Arabidopsis thaliana: one gene and its partners. The protein of the gene in region 4 interacts with the protein of the main gene of each other region in a pairwise test. Each region holds a gene or a part of one and is shown on either strand. Other genes may lie near its edges.

Region 1 (4,990 bases), 6.2 Mb from region 4:
TTCGTGATGCAACAACGATATTAACACAAATTTATTCTATTATTGTTCGCAAACATTTAACTATTATTATAAATTCGATGAAGGAAAAAAATTGTTTCTATATAATTCATTCACACTCAAGTTCATATATTAAGGTTCTGAATGGATATGCATGGTCTTGACAGAATCATATCAAAGTTCTATATATACATATATTTTAATATTATTCCGCCTGAAATGTATCCAAATTTGCTTTGCACCGCACGTTTTCATTCGGACTCTAACTTGATTAGCTAGGTCATGTTTTTGAGTCAAATTTCTTATTATGCCCGAGAAGATTTTAAACACTTCTTATTTGCCATCCATCTTTATAATTATATATGGGTTATATATCACTAATGCACATATCTCCCTTCATGTGTTTCATAGCGATAAATAGACCCTCCTGTCTAAAATTGACATTTCCCACAATCATTAGTCAACCTGCAGTTCGTGTGATCTAAATTGACCTGTCGGGTCCTTGATATTGTGTAACCTAGTGTATCTACGTGAGACACTCTGATTTTTACATATTTTTCATGTGATATTAGTAGATCTATTTAGTTTGAAGAAGTCCTATGTACCCTACTGAAATAATGTAAATTATTTTGTATAAGATTTATTATAAACTTTTATTTGCTAAAATCCTACGGAAGTCTTTAAAATATATAGTAATGACTTGAAACATGTACCATCCAACCACTTCTCATCCTCACACAACTTATCATCACCTACTTCAAAAATCTCAAGTTTCTAGAAGTAAGCATAGTGAAAATAAATAAATAGTAAGAATTTAATTAATAGGATAGTCCCCTAATCTCTATAGAAAATTAAGCATTTTTGTCATTTAAAATGTTCACTATATGGCCAACCACGATCAAAATCAAGTAAAAGGATATTAATTCTCGTTGTGAATTTTATTATAAATTATGAATGATTTTTTTTTTTTTTTTTTTTTTTTTTGAGGTGTGCAAAGAATTTTCTTTTGATATGAAACAAGAAATGCTTTTTCGGGTAAACCTTTCTCTTAAAGTAATTAAATTGTTATAACCTTGACTGGTTTCCTCATATTATTGGTCAATTAAAGATATATTTTACACCATACACTAATTTCTCTTTTACGTAACACATGGATGGTTAAAAAATTTAAGAATTGGTCAGAAGCTTGATGAAGCAAACCGGATCAAAAAATGATTGAAAAAAGAATTTGACATGACTACAAGACCTATTAACTGTTAGATACAAACGAAATCATTTTTCATTTTTCAAATGAATAAGGGTATAGACGTTAAATCCTATCGTATATTATAACTAGATTTAGGAATTTATAAGTTCTAAATCCTATCGTAGGTCGGAGAGCTAATTAGTCTACATGATGCCTGATGGCAAATTCACGTGTGGATCTCTATCAAAATGCTCATCGATCTCATAGGAACACAAGGTCTTGCGGTAATCTGATTGAAAATTTCAAGTTAATATACAAATGTTGTGGAAAAAAGGAAAACAAAGATGAAAAAAAAATAGAAAGAAGCAAAATTAAGAATCTAACATTCATTATCACACCTACAAATTAAGAATCTAATACTATTCATTTATTTCATTTCCAAGCTTCGAAAATCCAAAATTCTTGTCTTCAAACCCAAGAAGTCATAACCAACGTTACTACTACTAATATCAATAGAAGAATAGCTAATGCTGCTACTATTCTCTGTTTGACATTTCACAGTTTCACTACTACACTCCATGTCGTTTTCCATGTAAAAACGGGACGCAGTGCAAGTAGATATTTCTCTCTGGTTTTGCCATGGTGGACTGATCCTAAGCTCAAGATTCAAATCTGGGCCTATTTTTTCTTCAACAACAACTCTCTCTTCTTTGCAAACTAACCCATTTCGAATATACTTATTTTGCTTCTGGTCCCCAGACTTGTCTGTTTCCTCAAACTTTGTCACAAAAGAAACATCTTTTACAATTTGGTCCTTTGTTTTCTTCAAATCAGAAATTTTTGCCTCGTTGATCCCTCTATGAGTGGCTGGATCAATCCCTTTGCTCAAAAGCTTCCTCTTTATATGTGTGTTCCAGTAGTTCTTGATCTCGTTATCTGTTCTTCCAGGTAATCTCGCCGCAATCAAAGACCACCTAATAAAAAAACAGAGGATAAGTTTCAAGAAACAGAGCATAAGCTATATAAAACAGAGCATAGGGGCTTACTTGTTGCCTAGGAGGCTATGAAGCTTGATGATAAGTTCATCTTCATCATGTGTAAAGTTTCCTCTTTTGAGATCAGGTCGGAGATAGTTAATCCACCGAAGACGGCAGCTTTTACCGCAGCGAAGGAGACCAGCGGCTCTAGGAAGAGATCGCCAACAACCTTCACCGTGAGACTTGATGTAAGAGACTAGTCTCTCATCTTCTTCTTTAGTCCAAGCACCTTTGTTCATGTGTTCTTTCTCGCAGCAAGGAGATCTTCCCATGACTCTCTTCTTCTGATGATGATGATGCTTTTGATTCTGTTGTTGAGGGTTTTATGGAGAGAGAAGGGGAGAGAGGTGTTGGAGGTGGAAGGTGAGCCTAATTGCTTCTAGAAGAGAGTTGGTAGGACACGTTTGAAGGAGTGGCTGGTGGGGCTCTTGATTTTTGTTTAATCTTTTATTCTACATCAAACTATAACTGCCACATTCATATTATTTATTCAATATTTTATACCTTTCTCTTCTTGATTTTCCTTTGATGTTTTAGATCTCATAACCATTATTATTCACAATTTTTGTTTTCCTTTCAACCATCAAATCTTAACATATGAAATGCTACAAAATTGCGGTTTAACAAAACACTAGCTTTGATCGTTTTAATAATAACCAGACCCGGCCCAACATAAATTTGAGTCTTAGGGTAAATGTTTGCTTTTTTTTGGACCTTTTGTTAGGTAAAACTTTTTTTGGGCATCTTTTGCAATTATTTTGAAGTATATCTTGAGTGTTTTAACATTTTACAAAAATATTGGCTCTTTGGTATATAAAAGTCATTTAGAAATAAAATCAGGGCCTTTTAATATATATTTTAAAGAAATTTGGGGATTTTATCAATTATATTTTGACAACTTTTTTTTCCAAAAAATAAAAAACTTTTTCTTATGTAAATTTTTTTAAATAGGCATAAGGTTTGGACCGTCGCACTTTCGCTCCACCCTAATGAGTCGAGCCTGATTATAATAAATAAAAGCTTTATCATATATATTACTCTCAGAGTCTTAATGGAAACATGCAGTTCAACTGCGGATAAAGTGCGGTGCAGTTCAAATAATAACAAATATATATATATATATATGCAGAGAATTTTATTAATGTGCGATTCGGTCACCATTCGAATTTTTTTCGTGACTCATACCCCTATTTTATACTGTTTTTAACTATTATTGAATTACTTATGATTTTTTACTCGTTCAAAAACTTGTACAGGTTTGTATTAATAATCGGATCCATTATACTTTTTCCTCCAAATATAGAAGTGAGCCGCTTTATTGTCAACTTTGAAATCTCCTACTACCATTTTTTTTTATTACCAAAAGTAGCTTTTTATTATTTCTTATCGTTATTATAAAAGTAAATATTTATCATCTTATGTTATATTCCGGATCTATAAGTACCGATAGTTTATTTTGACAGAAGAAAAATAGTGGATATATTGTAGGTTTGAATTTGCGGGATTAACATAATTTTATTTAGATACGATTCATATGAAAATGTTATTACTTGGAAGATCGACGAGAACAAATTATATTTAAAAAAAAAAAAAAAAAAAAATATTTATGAATCTTCTACTCATGCATCTTTCAAGAACTTGGGTTGCTTTGCGGTTGACTTGTCTTCTGTCCACAGAACCTTTAAATTCGTCGTGAAAGTGTAGCATATGGTGCTGAACATAATGTTTTTCTAGCCAAAAAAAACACAATTTATTGGATCCGATTGGTAACCTATAAGAAAATACAAAGAGTAAAAATGAACATGATTAAAAAAGAATAAATAGAAAAAGAAAAAATTATAAAATAAAAATAAAAAGGAATGAGTGTAAAAGAAAAATAGAATAAATGTTATTGTAAATGATAACCCAAACATAAAATAAATAGTATAAAAATGAAAAAATAAATAAAATATTTTCTAAATTAAATATTAAATAAACATGGACGTTAAGAAAAAATATCAAACAAACGTGGAGGTTAAAAATTTAATTTTTAATTAATATATATTTAATTTTTTTTTCTGTTTATTCCTCATCAAATTTGGGAAAGAACAATTTTCTTCTACGATTCCTCAAAAAATAAGGAACGATTAAGAATAATGTGAGGTCCACATATAATAATTTGGAGAAAAAAATTACTGTTAAATGGTAAAAAAAAAGAAACATGTTGTTCCTGTCTATTGTTTTTGTAAAAATTGGTCACCAATCGGACCCATTAAAACTGAAAATGCATAGAAAAAAAAAAGAAAAAAAAAAAGTATTCCTAAATAATCAAAATTTTCACAATTGACTCAACCAAAGTGATAATAACGAGATGACAAGCTTCAATTTATTTATTTTGGTAAAATGCTTCAATTTATGTAATTGGTATTATCCTACATATTTTAAAGAAAATTGGCAAAATCTCATATTCCATTCCAAATTAAATAATCAAAAATTTCGTAAAGTTCACACCCTAGTCAAAATCTATTAACACCAACCATTGCACCGTTGAATTTTATTTTCTAACAATTGCAACCACGTGTCACCGATTTTTATCCTCAATATATATAAAAACACGAATACAAACAGATAAATACACACACAATAAAAAGATAGTAGGTGTTCTAGAATATCAATGTTATACCAAACTCATATATCACTATCATCTTGTTGGGACAAGCCCTATGTGCCCCCATACGTGACGCCTTGTGGAGGAATAGTCCAACTTCGTTTAATACAAAATTATTTATTA
Region 2 (5,005 bases), on a different chromosome or scaffold from region 4:
TGCCACCAACCCAGTCGCATATCCCAATGTTGAAAAGCCCATTTGATGCATTGGGCTACTCATACTAGGCCATTTATTTTGATAGGCTGAATTTATTGTTTTGGACTTCAACCAAGTTTTGTATATCATGCAGAAGTCAACTTGTATGATTTGTTTTATTCGTTTTGAGTTCTAGCTTACTTACATCATTCTGATTTGCGGTTCAAATCTATTTGAATTAATTTGATAGTCAGTAAAAGCTTACAGGTAGTTTGTGTCGATTTATGGTGTGTTTACTGTTTAGTAGGCGTCACCAAAATTTAAGTACAAACTATACATTGAAAGCTAATTCGGACTGTTTACAGAATTCCTCTCCATATTTTGTTGCTCATATAGGTTATCCTAATCTTGAGTTTACATTTTGCACTTTATTATATATGAAAATATCCATCAAGTAGGTCAAAGCAATATAACTCATATATCTATTTTGATATCGTTCAATCTTTGATATATGTCTCAATATACATTTCTTGAAATTTCGTATCTTTAACACTATCACATGTAGAAGAACCTAATTATGCCCACTAGCCTGATACTAAACTAAACTCCAAAGTTTTAGGTTGATGTCCGTTGTTTTACATAAACAAACATTTGGAAAAAACCAAACCACACTAGTTAAGTTCTTATATGTATATATTTGTATAGTTTTGGAAATAAGGTGAGTGACTTTTGTTTAATATAGTGAACAACACATTAATGTGATAAAGACATTTTACCAACACAGTGAATGCTTTGAATTAGTACTAAAAATAATCAAACGAAATATGCCAAAAGGTTGCAATGAATAGAAAACATGTACACTTTCAATCGTTCTCACGCTTCTCATCCTTACACAGCTTATCCACTTCATTGATATGTCCAATCTCTTGGGAATAACCATCGACATACATTTGTCAAACATTGGTTGGATTATCGAGTAAAATTCTAGAAATATACCAAGGATCGAATTTGAATGCATATGTCTTGTCAGCAAAGCATTACACCCATGCGACACTTACAAATGGCGAACATTTTCGCATCTTTTTAGTAGATTATCAAATATGACGACAGATCCTAACAACTATGATATGAATAAAATTACTAGTTATTAGAAAAGTTGAGAACCATGAACGAGTCTGTTAATAGCTTTTATATCACAATTCACAGCTATAAATTGATTAATATAGTATTTCATTTCATTTCATTTCCAAAGTGCTAAAATCCAAAACCCTAGTGTTGTTTAGACCCAAGAAGTCATAACCAATGCTACTACTAATGTCGGTTGAAGAATAACTGCTGCTACTACTGTCCTCTGTTTGACATTTCACATTATTACAGCTACACTCCTTGCCGTTCCCGAATCCAAAACGGCACGCACTGCACCTATACTTCACTCTCCCAAACCTTAGGTTCCTCTCATCATGGAGCTTGTCTTGCCATGGTGGACTGATCCTAAGCTCAAGATTCAAGTCCAGACATCTTTCTTCAACAACTGAGTACTCAACTCTCTTTTGAATTCTCTCGTCCCCGAAATTTGCTATTTTCTCCAGCTGAGGACCAAAAGAGAGAATCTTGACAAGAGGGTCCTCTGTTTTACTAGAATCAGACGAATCTTGAGAAGTTTTGGTCTCGTTGATAGGTCGATGAGTCGCCGGATCAATCCCTTTTCTTAATAGCTTCCTCTTAACATGTGTGTTCCAGTAATTCTTAATCTCGTTATCTGTTCTTCCTGGTAATCTCGTCGCAATAAGAGACCACCTGATAGAAGAAAAAAAAAACAGAGTTTAAAAAACAGAGCTTTTTAACATAACAGAGGATAGTAAAAAAAACAGAGGAGTTGTTTTGTGACTCACTTGTTACCGAGAAGGCTATGTAGTTTGATGATGAGATCATCTTCTTCGAGGGTGAAGTTACCCCTCTTGAGATCAGGTCGGAGATAGTTAATCCATCGGAGACGACAGCTTTTTCCGCAACGTTGAAGACCGGCGGATCTAGGAAGAGAACGCCAACAACCTTCACCGTGAGCTTTGATGTAAGAGATGAGCTTATCGTCTTCTTCCTTAGTCCAAGCTCCTTTGTTTGTGTGGTCTTTCTCACAGCAAGGAGACCTTCCCATCTTTCTTCTTCTGATTCTTGTGATGAAGAAATTAGGGCTTTATGGAGAGACGGTTTGAGAAAGAGAGAGAGAGAGAGAGGTTGGAAGAGGAAGGTGAAGCCTAATTTGTTTCTAGAAGAGAGTTGGTAAGACACGTTTGAAGGAGTGGCTAGTGGGCTCCGTTCTCTTTTTTCTTTTTAATCTAAGATTAAATTGTGTTTTTGTTTGTTTGTATCAAAACTAGAAACTGCAACATTCACACGATCGTGTTCGCAGTTTCAATGAGAAAACGCTATATGGCTTTTATGGTTTTTTCAAACCTGAGTCTAGTTGTCTACTTATTTACTTATTAGCCTAGTTGTAGGTGTGAAACCATAATTATGAATGGCGACATGCGTTTTGTTGGTGATTTTAGCAATAGAAACTGTGATCAATATTTCACATTTCCTAAAGAAACTTTTCAAACTTTACCAAATTTAATCATATTATATTTAAGTAGTTAGATAGGTGAAAATTTGGTTCATCTTGTTTTTTTCTATATTTTAGTTTCATTAATAACGTAAGAAAAAAAAAATCATCGAGTTTGTTCGATATGATTTTATATCGCAAATAATAAATTTGTTTGAGCTAGGGTTGTAAAAACAAAAGTAGAGGATATATTTACATTAAAGTAAATAGTTATAAGGATTTTGTTTTTGGACAAAGTTGGATGGTTTCGTACTGCAACGAATTTAATTCAAATTATGGACATTTATGTTACAATGGAAAATAGTATATATTTGCCATAGTGAGTTTGGTAAGGAGGTTGTAAAGGGCATCCAAATGACCAAATTAAGTATATTCAAATCAGTATAAAGATAAATTCGTTAGAATTTCTAAAGAAAAAAGGAGAACATGTTAGTTTGATAATTTTTTTGGTTAATCAAAAGTTTGGAGGATTAATCTAGAAGACACAAACAAGGTTGGTTTTGAGGGAAAGTTAATTTCATTTTTGGGTACGGTTTGGTGTAGATTTGGCTGCAATATGGGGAGTGGTTCGTGACCTTCCACTTTATCCTACTTCCTTTAAGAAGTGTTAAAACATATCTCAACAAATCGTTTCGTATATATAAGAACTATTCAGATAATGTATCAACCGTTTAAATTTTAATATCCATTTTCTCTTCACCAAAGTAGTGAGATATAGCATTATATAAGTAAAACCTACATCCTATACTAATATTTAGCTACGCGCTATATGATAATTACTTGTGAGTAATTAACACAAAATCAGGAGTTCCTACAATCGGTGAAACCTCACGTGGAGTTTGTAATGTAATGAAAATGGAGAGTGCATTTCTACCTGCTTTCTCCTTCTTCCATTAATGATTTGCCCTAACACGTGACCTTTTTACTTTCTCAACTACCATTTTACCAATCTCTTAATTAATTCCTTATCTTCTTTTCCATCAATTCAAGGTTTCTTATTTATCGTAACGACCAACTAATTCTTAGAAAAAAATCATAGTTTCTTGAGAAACGCTTTTCGTAAGCTAGCTTATCATTTGAATTGATATCTATGAATTTATCCGACGTATCTATGTTCTTGACAAGTTACAAAGACCATGGCCTACAAAATATTCAAGAATTTTGCTGTCATCACGAGCTAATTAAGCTAATATCAGTATATATGAAAATACGACGACTCTAAGAAAAACATTCGTGAAATGCTTTTGTAAATAGGTAAGGGGATATTTTGAAATAAGTATCGATAAAAACATATCGAATAATGATTGTGGTTTTTATTCTTGTTTGGAGTTCTTTATTTGGAAAAGGGAAAAAGCTTTATTGGTGAAAGTTTGTTTGATACCTGAAAGACAATCTTAAAAGAGTTTGGTAGATTTCATGGTGTACATTTACTCTGAACTCCTACCGACATATTTGTATATTTAATAACGAAGAAAATAGAAATGGGATAGAATTGACATGTGATTTGTTATCTACACACACACCAAACAAATCTTAAAAAAATAGGTACATTATACGACTTTTAGAATGTATACAAAGTGCAACATGTAACATATATTTCCTAATTATTAAAAATGTATGGTTTATTTATTTAAACTACTTACAAGTTACAAAACCTTCGTTCTTGCCAAATTTAGAAGACATGCGTTTCTTTCTTTTAGTTTCTTATATAAGTTATTGTTAGGTGATTTCACATTCTGTTAAAATACAGTACACTTCTTTTACGTAACAACAATTCTTTTATGTCAACTTGAATAAAGCTATTTGCTACTTTGCGTCCATTACATGTCATCCCGAGCCTATATTTAGGTAACTGGCAACCAACATCATATATTATCTTCTTTAATGAAAATACGAAAGCAAAAAAAAATTTAATTTTAATTTCTTAGTAGAAGTTTCCTACCTAACTAAACCTACCACTACCAGGTTAGGTCAAGTTTCAGGTTATGTCCCCACTTTGGTAGATATCGACCGATCTTTGTTTCTTTCTTTTTTCTTTTTCTTTGGTACTAATTAATAAGTGAAACGAACATTGCAATGAACAAATATCGCAAAAATGAATCACGGACCCAAAATATTGACTTTTTAACTTTTTTACTACTAAACAGTAGAATCGTGGATTCAAAGAGTTTAGAATCTTGTAGCAGCAAAATAGATTCGATAGACGATTAATAGTTTCTTTAATACCCAAATAAGAGCATCGTTGCTTCGTGTTTTACTTCCTATTTCGTTTACTTCATCCTCTTCCGGATCTCGTAAAAGTAACCAAATGCCACAACCGCAGCAGCAACTGCAACCCCGAACGCACTCTGTGCCAGAATCGTGCTGTCTGCAACTGCTTTGCCTGCTGAGGAGTTTGGGTTGAAACCAAGCTCAGAGAGTTTC
Region 3 (5,270 bases), on a different chromosome or scaffold from region 4:
GTGTGGTCATCCTTTTGTCCTTTTCCCCTTTTTCCTTATCTTCAGTTCTCACCACTCCTCCTCTCCCATCTCTTTCATTTCCAAAATATCATCCTCCTCTATCAACTTCTACATGTTTTTTTTTGTTATTCCTTCACTTTCATAATATTTACCCAACCACTGTTAAATCTCGATGTTCGAAATTAATCAAACGTTCTCAACTTTATTTTAGACTTCAACTGATTTTGTTTTTTTTTCCAACTTTAAATTTGTTTCATTAGTTGATGCAACCTGAGAAAACTCTTATTGATTCCATTATTGTTGAGTTTGTATCTTCATCAGAATATGATATATATCAAGCCCCAGTGCTAGTGACAACAACTTGTCATTTGGTGATCATATAATTTCTCAAGTGATTATACCAGTTTTTGAGATCTTACCAATTTTTGGCCAAAACAAAAAAACAAACACACAACTGGAGTATATAACCATTTGATCAATTTTAAAACTAAATCTAAATATATACGAGGAAATAATATACTGCTCTATTGGGATTTGAGATGATAATTAATGTAGTAGCTAGAGAGGGTTTTTGTAGTGTTGAGGAGAGGATATCAACGAAGGAACATGTACAACACCGATTTTACCAAGCATCTTACGATAGAACAATGTTTAAGTTTACGAGTCGCTACTCTTTCTAAATTCAACCATGTGGCTACATTCAATGAAACTCCTATACATAATTTTTATATGCATGCATGCATAAATATATTATGTGGTATATGGATATACAGTATATGTATGTTATGCATTCATGTGTAATATGTATGTATGTATGTATGTATGTATGTATGTATGCAGATGTAGATCGCTTGCAAGTGGACAAAAGATGAGGAAAGGTTGGTATATAGGTTGGTAGGGAGATGGGTAGTGAGAAATAAATAGAGTTTGGTAGAAGAAAGGGTCCATTGGTTGTTGCTTCCTTTCCTTCATTTATGGTTTTCATTATTTTCTTTTTCTTTTTCACATATCTCTTTCTTTCCTTTTTTTATCTTAAAAACATTTAAGTTTTCTCCTACCTCCTTCTCTTACAACTTTTCTATTCCTGCCAAATTAACTACAAACCTCACTTTCCACTTGTCATGAAACATTTTCGATTTATCTTCTGTTTCACGTTCTTCTCCTAGATCTTTAATTATAGATCTTAACAAGGTATCATCTATACCAGTACAATCTAAGTATTATGTGATCAAGTATCTTTGCCATACTCGTAATCTTTTTTCTCCTTATTTGGCTTATCTCCAACATTGGATAACGAGTTATTTGGGCAACCAACCTAATCTTACCTCATAAACTGATAATCTTAATCGTATACAAATTAATTACAATAGAGCTATACGATCTAATGATCTATATTTTTATCACCGATCGTCTAGATCCGGTATTTAATATTTATGCCAATGGAGTTAATTTGTAAAAGAGAAAAAAAAACAAATTCTATATATTATAATTCACCAGTTAAATTTCTCATACAAGTTGAAGATATACTTTCAAATTATCTAGGCAAAAGTTTTGTACAGTTACGCCTAAAATTTGACAATATTATTTCATCTCCAAGCTTCGAAAGCCCAAAAGAGAAGTGGTCTCTTTCTTTGCCAACCCTAAAAAATCAAATCCATTGCTCATGTCACTCCCCTTGCTGCTACCTCCGACTACATCGCATCTCATTCTTCCGCATCTGCACTCCATGCCGTTTATCATCCCTAAGCTGCACTTGAAACAACGTGGCGTTGTTGACTTTCCATGCCCTTGAAGACGATCAACATCATCAGGAAGACTGATTCTGAGCTCAAGATTCAAATCTGGGAACTTTTCTTGAACTGGGCACTCATCTTTTTCTTCTTTGAACGTAAGCATTGAGATTTTCTCTGATTTTCCCGGAAAGCTTATACTTTCATGGAACGTTTCGACCTTTGGAGCAGAAGTGAATGAGATATTAATGGTATTACTCGTAACTGGTTCTAGTTGTGTAGGTTTAGAATCTTGAGAAGCTGATGATTCTTGGATTGGTCTATGACTCGTTGGATCAATCCCTCTGTTTATAAGCTTTCTTCGTATATGCGTGTTCCAATAGTTCTTTATCTCGTTATCTGTTCTTCCCGGTAATCTCCCGGCAATAAGCGACCATCTATATATCATCAACAAAAAATAACATCATTTAGATAGATTGAAAACTCCAAGATTTTCATTTTGTATAAATTAAAACGATACTAGTTTTTTTTGTTTTTTTTTGGGTATAAACGATACTAGCTAGTTAAATAAGCCCATATTTAGAGAGTATAGTACTCACTTGTTGCCAAGAAGGCTATGGAGCTTGATGATGAGTTCGTCTTCTTCCTCGGTGAAGTTTCCACGCTTAAGGTCAGGCCGGAGATAGTTGATCCACCGGAGACGGCAGCTCTTGCCACAGCGAAGAAGTCCGGCGGCTTTGGGGAGAGATCTCCAGCAGCCTTCTCCATGAGCTTTAATGTAGGCGACGAGCCTCTCGTCCTCTTCTTTCGTCCATGCTCCTTTGTTTGTGTGAGCTTTCTCACAGCACGGTGACCTTCCCATACTTTTATGTTTACTTTCTTTCTTGTGGTTTAGATCTTATTTCGTCTCAAAATCTTATATATAGGCAGATCAATTCTACTTGTTATTTTATATTGAGGGATTGGCTTTTAGCGAGGGTTTTGGCTAAAAGGGTATAAAGGGATTAAGTTGTTTTTTTGTGTAGTGGAAGAGGATTGAAGCATTTGGTGGGGCACTTGGATTTTGGGTTTGGTTGAAGGTTCAAAGCTTTGGTGTATAGTTTATATAGGGTTTTGACTTAAAGCTAGAGAGGAATATACACACATATATATATATACACAAATGCTTCTAGATGATAGAAAAGGAGAGAGAAAGAGAGTTGAACTTATAATTGCTTCTAGATGTGAGTTGGTGGGATGGATTTGAATGAGTAGTGTATGGTGGCCTTTCGTTTTGGTACAATAAGTGAGAAGCTTGACATATATGGCATCATAGTCTTTTGATAAAGCTATGACATTTTTTTAATAATCATGACAACAAATTTAATATTTCTCACTTAAATATATATATATATATATATATGTAATCAAAGAAATTTCTCGTGTTCGTATATACATAAACCAAAATTATTTAGCTACTTCTTTAATTTTTTTTCTTTCTTTTTTTACTTTGCAACAAGTTTTATTTAGTACAAAATATAAACCAACTCTGTCAAGAAATTAATCAATACATGACAATTCGAGTATTCGACTGTGTACATTTATTGACAAATCGTCTTTTAACTTCGACCGATTTAGTACAAACAGTAATTTATTTTTATTTTTTTGGAGTCTCTTACCTATCGTATGAATTAAGTTTGTAGTAAAACTTAGGCGGGTGAAAATTAATGTAGAAAACCTAAAATTCAGTAAAACAAAAAGTTTGTGAATGGCTTTTATCGCCAGATATTATAGGTCACAAGTAAAAATTTGGGTCTAACAAAGGAAGGGGAAACTTGAATAATTTGGTAGCAATAACGAAGAGAAGATATAATGAAGTAGTGGAGGTAGGTGGTAAAGTTAATGAGTGTTTTTTGGACAAGTGCAGGTCAACTATATAGCCTATGAGGTTTTTGTTGTACTGGTCAACAGTCTTTTCTCTAATATATAGACTGCACTGGATTAGTTATTGTTTTTTTAATCAATAATATATCTAGAACTTAACCCTAATACAATCACTTGCTAATTAAACAAAGCATTATCAAATAACTAATTATATGTGTGGGCAGGATAACTTGTAACTTATATATGGTTTTCAAATTACTCTCACCAAATGACAAGCACTTCATGTTTAAAATATTTGTGATGATGCTCATGTTTCTTTAATATTTCAGTATAAAAACAATACAACAAGAACCACCATGACACATACATATAAATTAGAAATATACATATATGATAAACTATTTGAATTAAAGAATGTGCCTTCTAGAACCTTGACTTAGAATGGTTTTCTCTAACCAACTTCTATTTCTTTCATATTAGAGACTTGAAAAATCAAGACTTATTAAGAGATATTTTTTTAATAATGTTGAACTCTAACTGGACGGAATATTATTATAGCACTAATCGTATCTATATTTTTAGAATACGATCGACAACACTAATCATATACGTATGTAGTAATTCGTATGTCAGGAGAATAGTTGAAGAATAGAACACATAACAGTATATAGGAGAGAATAATTAAACTATAGTATCTACTGTGTACTGTCCATGTATGCTAAACAAAAAAAGTTGAACTTAATTGTGAAATTTGGTAAGTTAGGTGGAAAATGTGAGAAGAAACGAAAAAGAATAATGGTTTATTGAAAAAGATGAAAAAACCGAAAAAGAGAGAGAGAGAGAGAGAGAGTAGTTGAATTTCAATTTGTTTAATCTATTGGTACAAAATCACTCACCTCATGCATGATGATGGCCCTCTTCTAGAAGGTTAGGTTCTTAGCTAAAGGCCAAGATTCTTCAATTCATCAACAAAAGTTTACGTCCATTTACATCTGAATCAAAATTAAACCCCAATCAGTCAGTTTTTCACATTCACTATTTATACCCAATTAACTTATTTACTGCTCTTTCTTTTTTCTTGCAACTAAATTGTAAGAGACAAATTCGTAATATTGTTTTATGAAAAACCAAATGCAGCAACACTACATGCAAAACGTTTTTTAACATCATGGGAGAATAATAGTTCTCCAGGTGAATTATTCTCTCTGTTGTTTTTTTTTGTTTTTTTGTTTTAGGAATAATATGTTATTACTTGTTAGTAGTACTACTAATGGGATTGTAAATGACGTGGAGGAAATAGCGATGTGCTATAATATAAAAGCAAAACTTGTGTCACAAATATAATATAGAAGCGAAATCACAATGTACTGATTAATTTGGCATTTTCTTTAAGTAAATATACTGATATTAAAAAAGAGTAGGATAATTATATTATTTAGGTTGCTGCCAAAAACAAAAAAAAACTATATATTATTTAGGTCCGTATGCGGTTGGGACGTGGGATTTGGTTCACCTTCCACTTTATTATTATTGTTTTAATAATGGATTCATTTGTTTGATATTTAATTTCAACTTTGCGTATTCAGATACAAGAATTAAGATCACCTTGATCTCAAGGTAAAGATTAGATTTTATTGACGACCAAAGAATAAGTTAAGTTTTCCATAATAGTTGAGT
Region 4 (6,272 bases):
ATATGTTGCACCAACATTAGCTCTAGTTGAGATTTATAGGGATCCGTTTGCTTCAATTTGTCACAAAGAGCTCCAACAGCCAGCATCGCACCATCTTTTTGGCGATAAGGCTTCTCCTCTACAGTAGCTTTTTCATAACTACAAACAGTGGACAAACAAGTTGTCAATAAAACACAACTGATATGAAAAGTTCCAAGCAGAAGAGCTCAAATGTAATACCTCAAGAAGATCTCAACGACAAACTTAACAAACTTCGGAAGGTTTTCTTTCCCACGTTTTCGAACCAACTCATTTACAAAATCCATGGACGCTGTTCGCGGACTGTACAAGTCTTCAATGATATCTACAGCACAACAAATAACATTACAAATGATGATTTTAAGAATTAAGACTTTTTAAGAAAGTCATTATTATGTAGTACTTACTGTAACCTTTCCTCACATATTCATGAGGGTCTTCCTCCCAAAGCTTTTGATCATTATCATTAAAGCACATTAGAGGGAAAACAATCTCAAAAAGCAGAACATCCAGCCGAGGCAGAAGCAACTTGTACATGCTATTCTTCGAAATGCTGCAGAAACAACGAATTAGTTTCAACGAATTTTTTTTTACAAAACATCTAAACCTCTAAGAGTTTTCTAATTAATTCCAAGAACTTAAAATTCAGTGACCAAAAAAAAATTTTATAATGTCAGAGAAAAGATGATACTTAAGTTAGCCAAGTGGGGATACTGAATGTGTACATGTATGTACATGAAACTAATGTCTACAAGTGATTGTAACACAAACCTGTTGCTTAAGTACTGAAGGAGAAGATTGATAACTCTGTCAGGAAGATAGCCTCCAACACGAATTGTGTTCAAGAAATTTAGGTGGCCTTCCAAAATTCTGCCTGCATAATTCTTTTGAAACATTTGGGCGAAAGGTTTGTTTTCTGGACTTTGAAGTTTTGGATCTCCAAACCTGTTAAAGAATATTCTATAAACCTTTCAAGCGTACTTTCTTGTTAAAAAAATATTAATGTCAAAGACATACCGACTATAGAGCCTGTTTAAAATGTGCACTGTCCACTTCTTGACCTTCCACCAGCCCCAAGATTTTCTAAGTTCCGGATCCATAGGCTGACCTTCAACTGGAACAGGACGTTCCGAAACACTCAAGAACAGAACCATCCAGGCATTAAAGACGTTTAGATCAAATAATTGCCTTGGAAGCTCCAGCTGCCCACAGAGAACAGTAAAAAAGACATTAAACAGCTTAACTGGTTTGAATTGTGTTTTAAGGATATGCATATTATGTTAAGAAAGATAAAATGTGAAATTCCGCAGAGGCATATGTAACTGATCTCTCTAGCAACTTACATATATGGATGACCAAAATATTTTGCATATCAACTTCATAAGTTCTGCTATCTCCAGAGACGGATTTGGTATCTGGATAAGCCCATTAAAAATAGTCAAAAGTTGAGGAAATGTCTCCTCCACAATGCGGGAAACCGGTGTCCTCTCCTCATCTGACTTGAACCTAGAAAATAAAATCATGAAACATCATCAACGGGATATACTACTTAGGTGTCATCATATAAAGAGCAACTTGCATTTCTAGCTGGAAGTCGTCACATACTTGACAGGACATCATGAATTGACAGAGACACGAAAACCATTGTGTTCTAACAATACGTTTTAAACACTCTCATTTCTCCTGCCTAACACTTCTTTCCCTTCTCTTAATATTATCGGTTACCACCTAATTTTATTAGTCACTACTCAGTGTGATACATGCAAGACTCGAAATTGCGCTATTGCCACCAAAGATAATCTTGAAGATGTCTCAATAACGCATATCAAAAATTTCACTAACAAACCTTTAAATCATACACACAGACATAGGGATACGGAACAGAAAGTGGTGAACTTACTCATATTTTCTAGAGAGTATCCGCAACACAAACAAAGCCCCATAAATTTGTTGATTTTGCAAGTTGTACTTCACCCAATCCAGAAGACGTGGCCATTGTTCTGGGTAGTCAGCATAAATAATTGTCTTGAGAGACTCTCCAAGTTGTGATCTGGATAAGAAAATTAGGGGAAAAAAAAATTATGGTTGTTGTTGAGGCTTATAGAAGATGCTATTGGGACCAAGGTAATGAGAAAAAAATACTAACTTAAAAAAAAATCATCTTCTATCTGCCGTTTTTTAATATCTAGAACCTAAGGATAATGTAGAGACACATTCAAAGATGTATATATAAAAGAAGAGGACTATCAGCTTGAAGACAATCTATCAGACAAGATGATGAGCAATTTGTAGGCATGATTAGCCATACAGGTTACAAATATTTTCATAAAATCGCTTAAAATCAGACCACGTCAGACAGAGTTCAGCAAACCAAATGACTTGAATGATAATTCCAAAAGCTATCTGGCAAATTTACCTGAGTAAGGTTGGAACTTGGGTGACATAGACGAGAATATTGTCCCTCACCAATTCTTTGTCACTCTCAAATATCTGCTGCTGCCTTACTGCAGGACCTGCACCATCAAATATGCAAATTAATCTAAAGATCTTCCAAACGCTAAGCCGAGACAAGATAATTAGAATACAAAATTATTACCACAATCCTCAGGTGACCAGTTCTTAGCAATTAAATTTTTGAACTGAATACTAGCAATTTGACGCACTGCCATGTCACAATTTCCATCCACGGCTATCTGCAATAACCTCACCAAATGCTGGGGCGTGTGCTCCAACTGCAAGACAAAAGAATAACGAGAAACTCAGGCATCAGAAACTGCATAACTTTAATTGATCATTAGAAATAGTAAACACCACTGAAATCTGGCTACAGTGAATTAAAGCAAATAACGATTTGTTCAAAAAGAGTGGGAATCTTTGAACTATCTTCAGTAAAACCAGAAAGTGAACTTATAAGGAAACTCTATACATGAACTCAGCTCAAACTTTAAGATACTACTAGCAGAATAAGAACAATCAAACTCGCGACCAAGCAACCGTGTAAATACATCGAAAGAGAAATTGAAGTGGAAACTGAGAAACCTGATTGAGTTGCTGCTCAGAAACTTTACGCTCATCGGGAATAGGGCTAAGAGCGGCGGTTCGGAGGATCAAAGCGAGGCTATGCAGATCCATTCTCCGTGGAGTTTGAGAATCCGGACACTAAACAGAGTAAACCTTGATGACGATCAGAGGCAGTGGTTGATATTCGATTTGAAATTCCCAACCAAGAGAGAGAGCTGAATTAGAGGAGGGGAGAATCTCAGAAGAGCATGATAGGGTTTAAGAGGGACAAGAATGGCGGAGAAGAAGGAGAAGAAGATTTGATTGATAGTTGGCGAGAGTGGAGGAGAGGGACAAATAGAGCTGGACGATTTACAGTATTTAAATCCCTAGGGTTGTTTAACTAACCAAAACCACCCAATTTTGATTCTGATTGACCCGGGTCTTCTTTAGCCGGTTTATTCCGAACCGGGTCTTCTCTTACTAAATGACGTCACTGATTCTCTTACTAATTAAGTTCAGGTGAATTTGAGGGGAAAACAAATATTTTTGGACATGTATGTGTCTGAAAATGTGATTTTCCCTCTTTTTTTTTGATGAATATATAGTTTAAAATAAAAACTAACAAAGACATAAAAAAATGTTTTTCTCCTTTTAATCAAGTATGTATTATTTTATTTGTTCTGGTCATAATCCTAAGTGAGTGTGGTTGGTATTTTGATGAAAATTTAAAATTGTTCATTCCATAATATTTATGTCCAAGTATATATGGACGTAAATCATGTAAGCGATGATGAATCCCAATGTTAGATGACATCAAAGAATTTTGTGACCATAGGCCATATGTGTTGTGTAAATTTTGTGGGTATCTAGAGAAAGCCAACCAACAAACGCTATATGGATACTTTGACAATAAGTTCCATCCATCAGCTGCCAGTTTGTCCAAGTATCAAAATTTCATCCGAAAAGCTGATAAGCCGCCAATCTGCCCCAAGTATCTAGGAAACGACATATTCTAATGCCTAGTTGATGGGAAGAACTTTGGAGGTACACACATCACCTATCTTGAAGCTCATGAAAGCAAGTATTTTAACCTTACTTACTTTTAAATATATATGTCTCTAGCGTGTATAGCATCCCTATGTGGATCAATTTAGAGCACTAGTGAGCATTGTATGCTACCGCATAAGAAAATGCAACTACTGTTAACCATGATGATTACATCCTTATTAACATATATGACACACTGCAAAAGTCACTGGATGCGATCAAGTTAGCAGCGGTATTTTCCATGTGTCAAAAGCATACTAATATACTACAGTCAACCGTATATTGTTCTTTAGTTAAGTTAAGTAAAGACTACTCCTACTAGACAGATATTCGGTTTATGAATCCAAATCAAGTAATTGCTATGAATAGCCGTTCATTTAAGAATGAAGATAAGGGAAGTGAGTTGAAATGTTTCTTTTAACCTCATATCTTTACTTCAACTTATCACACCTTAAAAACTGGATTAGAGTTCCACTTGTCCGATTCATAGAAAAAATCTTGTATCTATCACAAAAATCTTTAACATATGTTTGATTATTTATCCACAAACTAAGCTTTTTAGGTTGAAATATTATATTATTCTAGAAAACTTCAGAACAATCCAAAACAAGTAATACCAAGGGAGCAAATCGTTGGAATTTCCTCACAAGAAAATTCTCTAGCTCATTTGAGAAAATAGGTAGTATTACTTGAAGAACCCCATTCAATAATTGAATTTATGAGCAATTCGGTTGATTTCTACCTTCATTCAAATTCTAGTCAATCTTGTCTTTTTGTTCCAATGGAATTTAATTTGGATTAACCAGAAAAATATGTCTTATACACTATACTTAACAGACTAAAAACCCAAAAATATACGTATGAACTGAAAAAAAACAAAACAAATTCCATGTAGTGAAGATTACACAAAAACTGGTAAACAACAATTATCTGAAAACAAAACTATATAAAAGAATCAGAGACTCTTGTTGAATTTTGCCCAAAAAAAAAAGACTCTTGTTGAAAATAAAATACATGACAACCGGGATTTTTTTTTTCTACAAGTGGAATTTTTATTTATTTTATTTTTAGTTTTATATGTTTTTATTAACCAGATATTAATTTTTATATACATACACACACACACTATATATGAATGTATGTATGCGGAGATATATAAGGAGACAGAGCAATAGATCTGAAAGACTTGTCATCATCTTAATAAACCCGGCGGGAAACGTAAAAAAGCCTTTTAGCTTCTCCCTCCAAAGGATCTGTTTTTTTCCCTTTTTCTCTGATTCTTCTTCCTAAACCCTAATTTCTCCAATCCACGAAATTCCCTAGCAATTTTTTTGGGGGTTTAGTGAAAGAAGGATAGAGAGAGTGAGCAAAGGTGTCTCCTTTACGAAGCCCTGTGCTTTCTCCCTCCGAATAATCTCCATGGCGTGTTTTTCTAACGAAACCCAGATCGAAATTGATGTCCACGATCTAGTGGAAGCTCCGATTCGCTACGATTCTATTGAGAGTATCTACTCTATTCCTTCATCGGCATTGTGCTGTGTTAATGCCGTTGGTTCTCACAGTCTGATGTCTAAGAAGGTTAAGGCCCAGAAGCTTCCGATGATTGAGCAATTCGAGATTGAAGGTAGCGGTGTTAGTGCTAGTGACGATTGTTGTCGTTCGGATGATTATAAGTTGCGGATTCAGCGTCCTGAGATTGTTCGCGTCTACTATCGTCGCCGTAAGAGGCCGCTACGGGAGTGTTTACTAGATCAGGCGGTGGCTGTGAAGACTGAAAGTGTGGAGCTTGATGAAATTGATTGTTTTGAGGAGAAGAAGAGAAGGAAGATTGGTAATTGTGAGTTGGTGAAATCGGGTATGGAGTCGATTGGTTTAAGAAGGTGTAAGGAAAACAATGCGTTTAGTGGGAATAAGCAAAATGGGTCATCCCGAAGGAAGGGGTCTTCTAGCAAGAATCAGGACAAGGCGACTCTGGCTTCTCGTTCAGCTAAGAAATGGGTCAGGTTAGGGTCTACCTATCATCTCTTTAACTGTTGAAATTCATGGACTTTGAAACTGTTGCGCTGTTGTTTTGCACTGATGATTTTCTTAGTTCAGACTTTGAAGACCTTTTATTGTTAGTGGGCAGACTCCTTATGATGGAGTTTTGATGTGGCAGGTTGAGTTATGATGGTGTGGATCCTACAAGTTTCATAGGGCTGCAA

The links.
Region 1: the proteins of SAD2 (region 4) and MYB7 interact in a two-hybrid assay, tested with the Arabidopsis thaliana proteins (one study listed by BioGRID).
Region 2: the proteins of SAD2 (region 4) and MYB32 interact in a two-hybrid assay, tested with the Arabidopsis thaliana proteins (one study listed by BioGRID).
Region 3: the proteins of SAD2 (region 4) and MYB4 interact in a two-hybrid assay, tested with the Arabidopsis thaliana proteins (one study listed by BioGRID).

The regions. Positions count from the first base shown.
Region 1 is NC_003071.7:7,254,059-7,259,048, forward strand, and holds MYB7 (myb domain protein 7), read right to left. Parts: upstream 2,774-4,990; 5' UTR 2,493-2,773; coding exon 2,230-2,492; intron 2,158-2,229; coding exon 1,611-2,157; 3' UTR 1,415-1,610; downstream 1-1,414. UniProt on the Arabidopsis thaliana protein: Transcription factor involved in the negative regulation of flavonol biosynthesis.
Region 2 is NC_003075.7:16,660,156-16,665,160, forward strand, and holds MYB32 (myb domain protein 32), read right to left. Parts: upstream 2,395-5,005; 5' UTR 2,135-2,394; coding exon 1,872-2,134; intron 1,777-1,871; coding exon 1,215-1,776; 3' UTR 946-1,214; downstream 1-945. Other genes in the region: APX3 (ascorbate peroxidase 3), read right to left, coding at 4,852-5,005.
Region 3 is NC_003075.7:18,051,188-18,056,457, reverse strand, and holds MYB4 (myb domain protein 4), read right to left. Parts: upstream 3,099-5,270; 5' UTR 2,593-3,098; coding exon 2,330-2,592; intron 2,168-2,329; coding exon 1,582-2,167; 3' UTR 1,418-1,581; downstream 1-1,417. UniProt on the Arabidopsis thaliana protein: Transcription repressor involved in regulation of protection against UV. Mediates transcriptional repression of CYP73A5, the gene encoding trans-cinnamate 4-monooxygenase, thereby regulating the accumulation of the UV-protectant compound sinapoylmalate.
Region 4 is NC_003071.7:13,461,397-13,467,668, reverse strand, and holds the start of SAD2 (ARM repeat superfamily protein), read right to left. Parts: upstream 3,376-6,272; 5' UTR 3,151-3,375; coding exon 3,058-3,150; intron 2,751-3,057; coding exon 2,615-2,750; intron 2,532-2,614; coding exon 2,435-2,531; intron 2,069-2,434; coding exon 1,919-2,068; intron 1,525-1,918; coding exon 1,362-1,524; intron 1,221-1,361; coding exon 1,036-1,220; intron 964-1,035; coding exon 790-963; intron 572-789; coding exon 426-571; intron 344-425; coding exon 220-343; intron 139-219; coding exon 1-138. Other genes in the region: ATX1 (homologue of trithorax), read left to right, coding at 5,488-6,071, 6,227-6,272.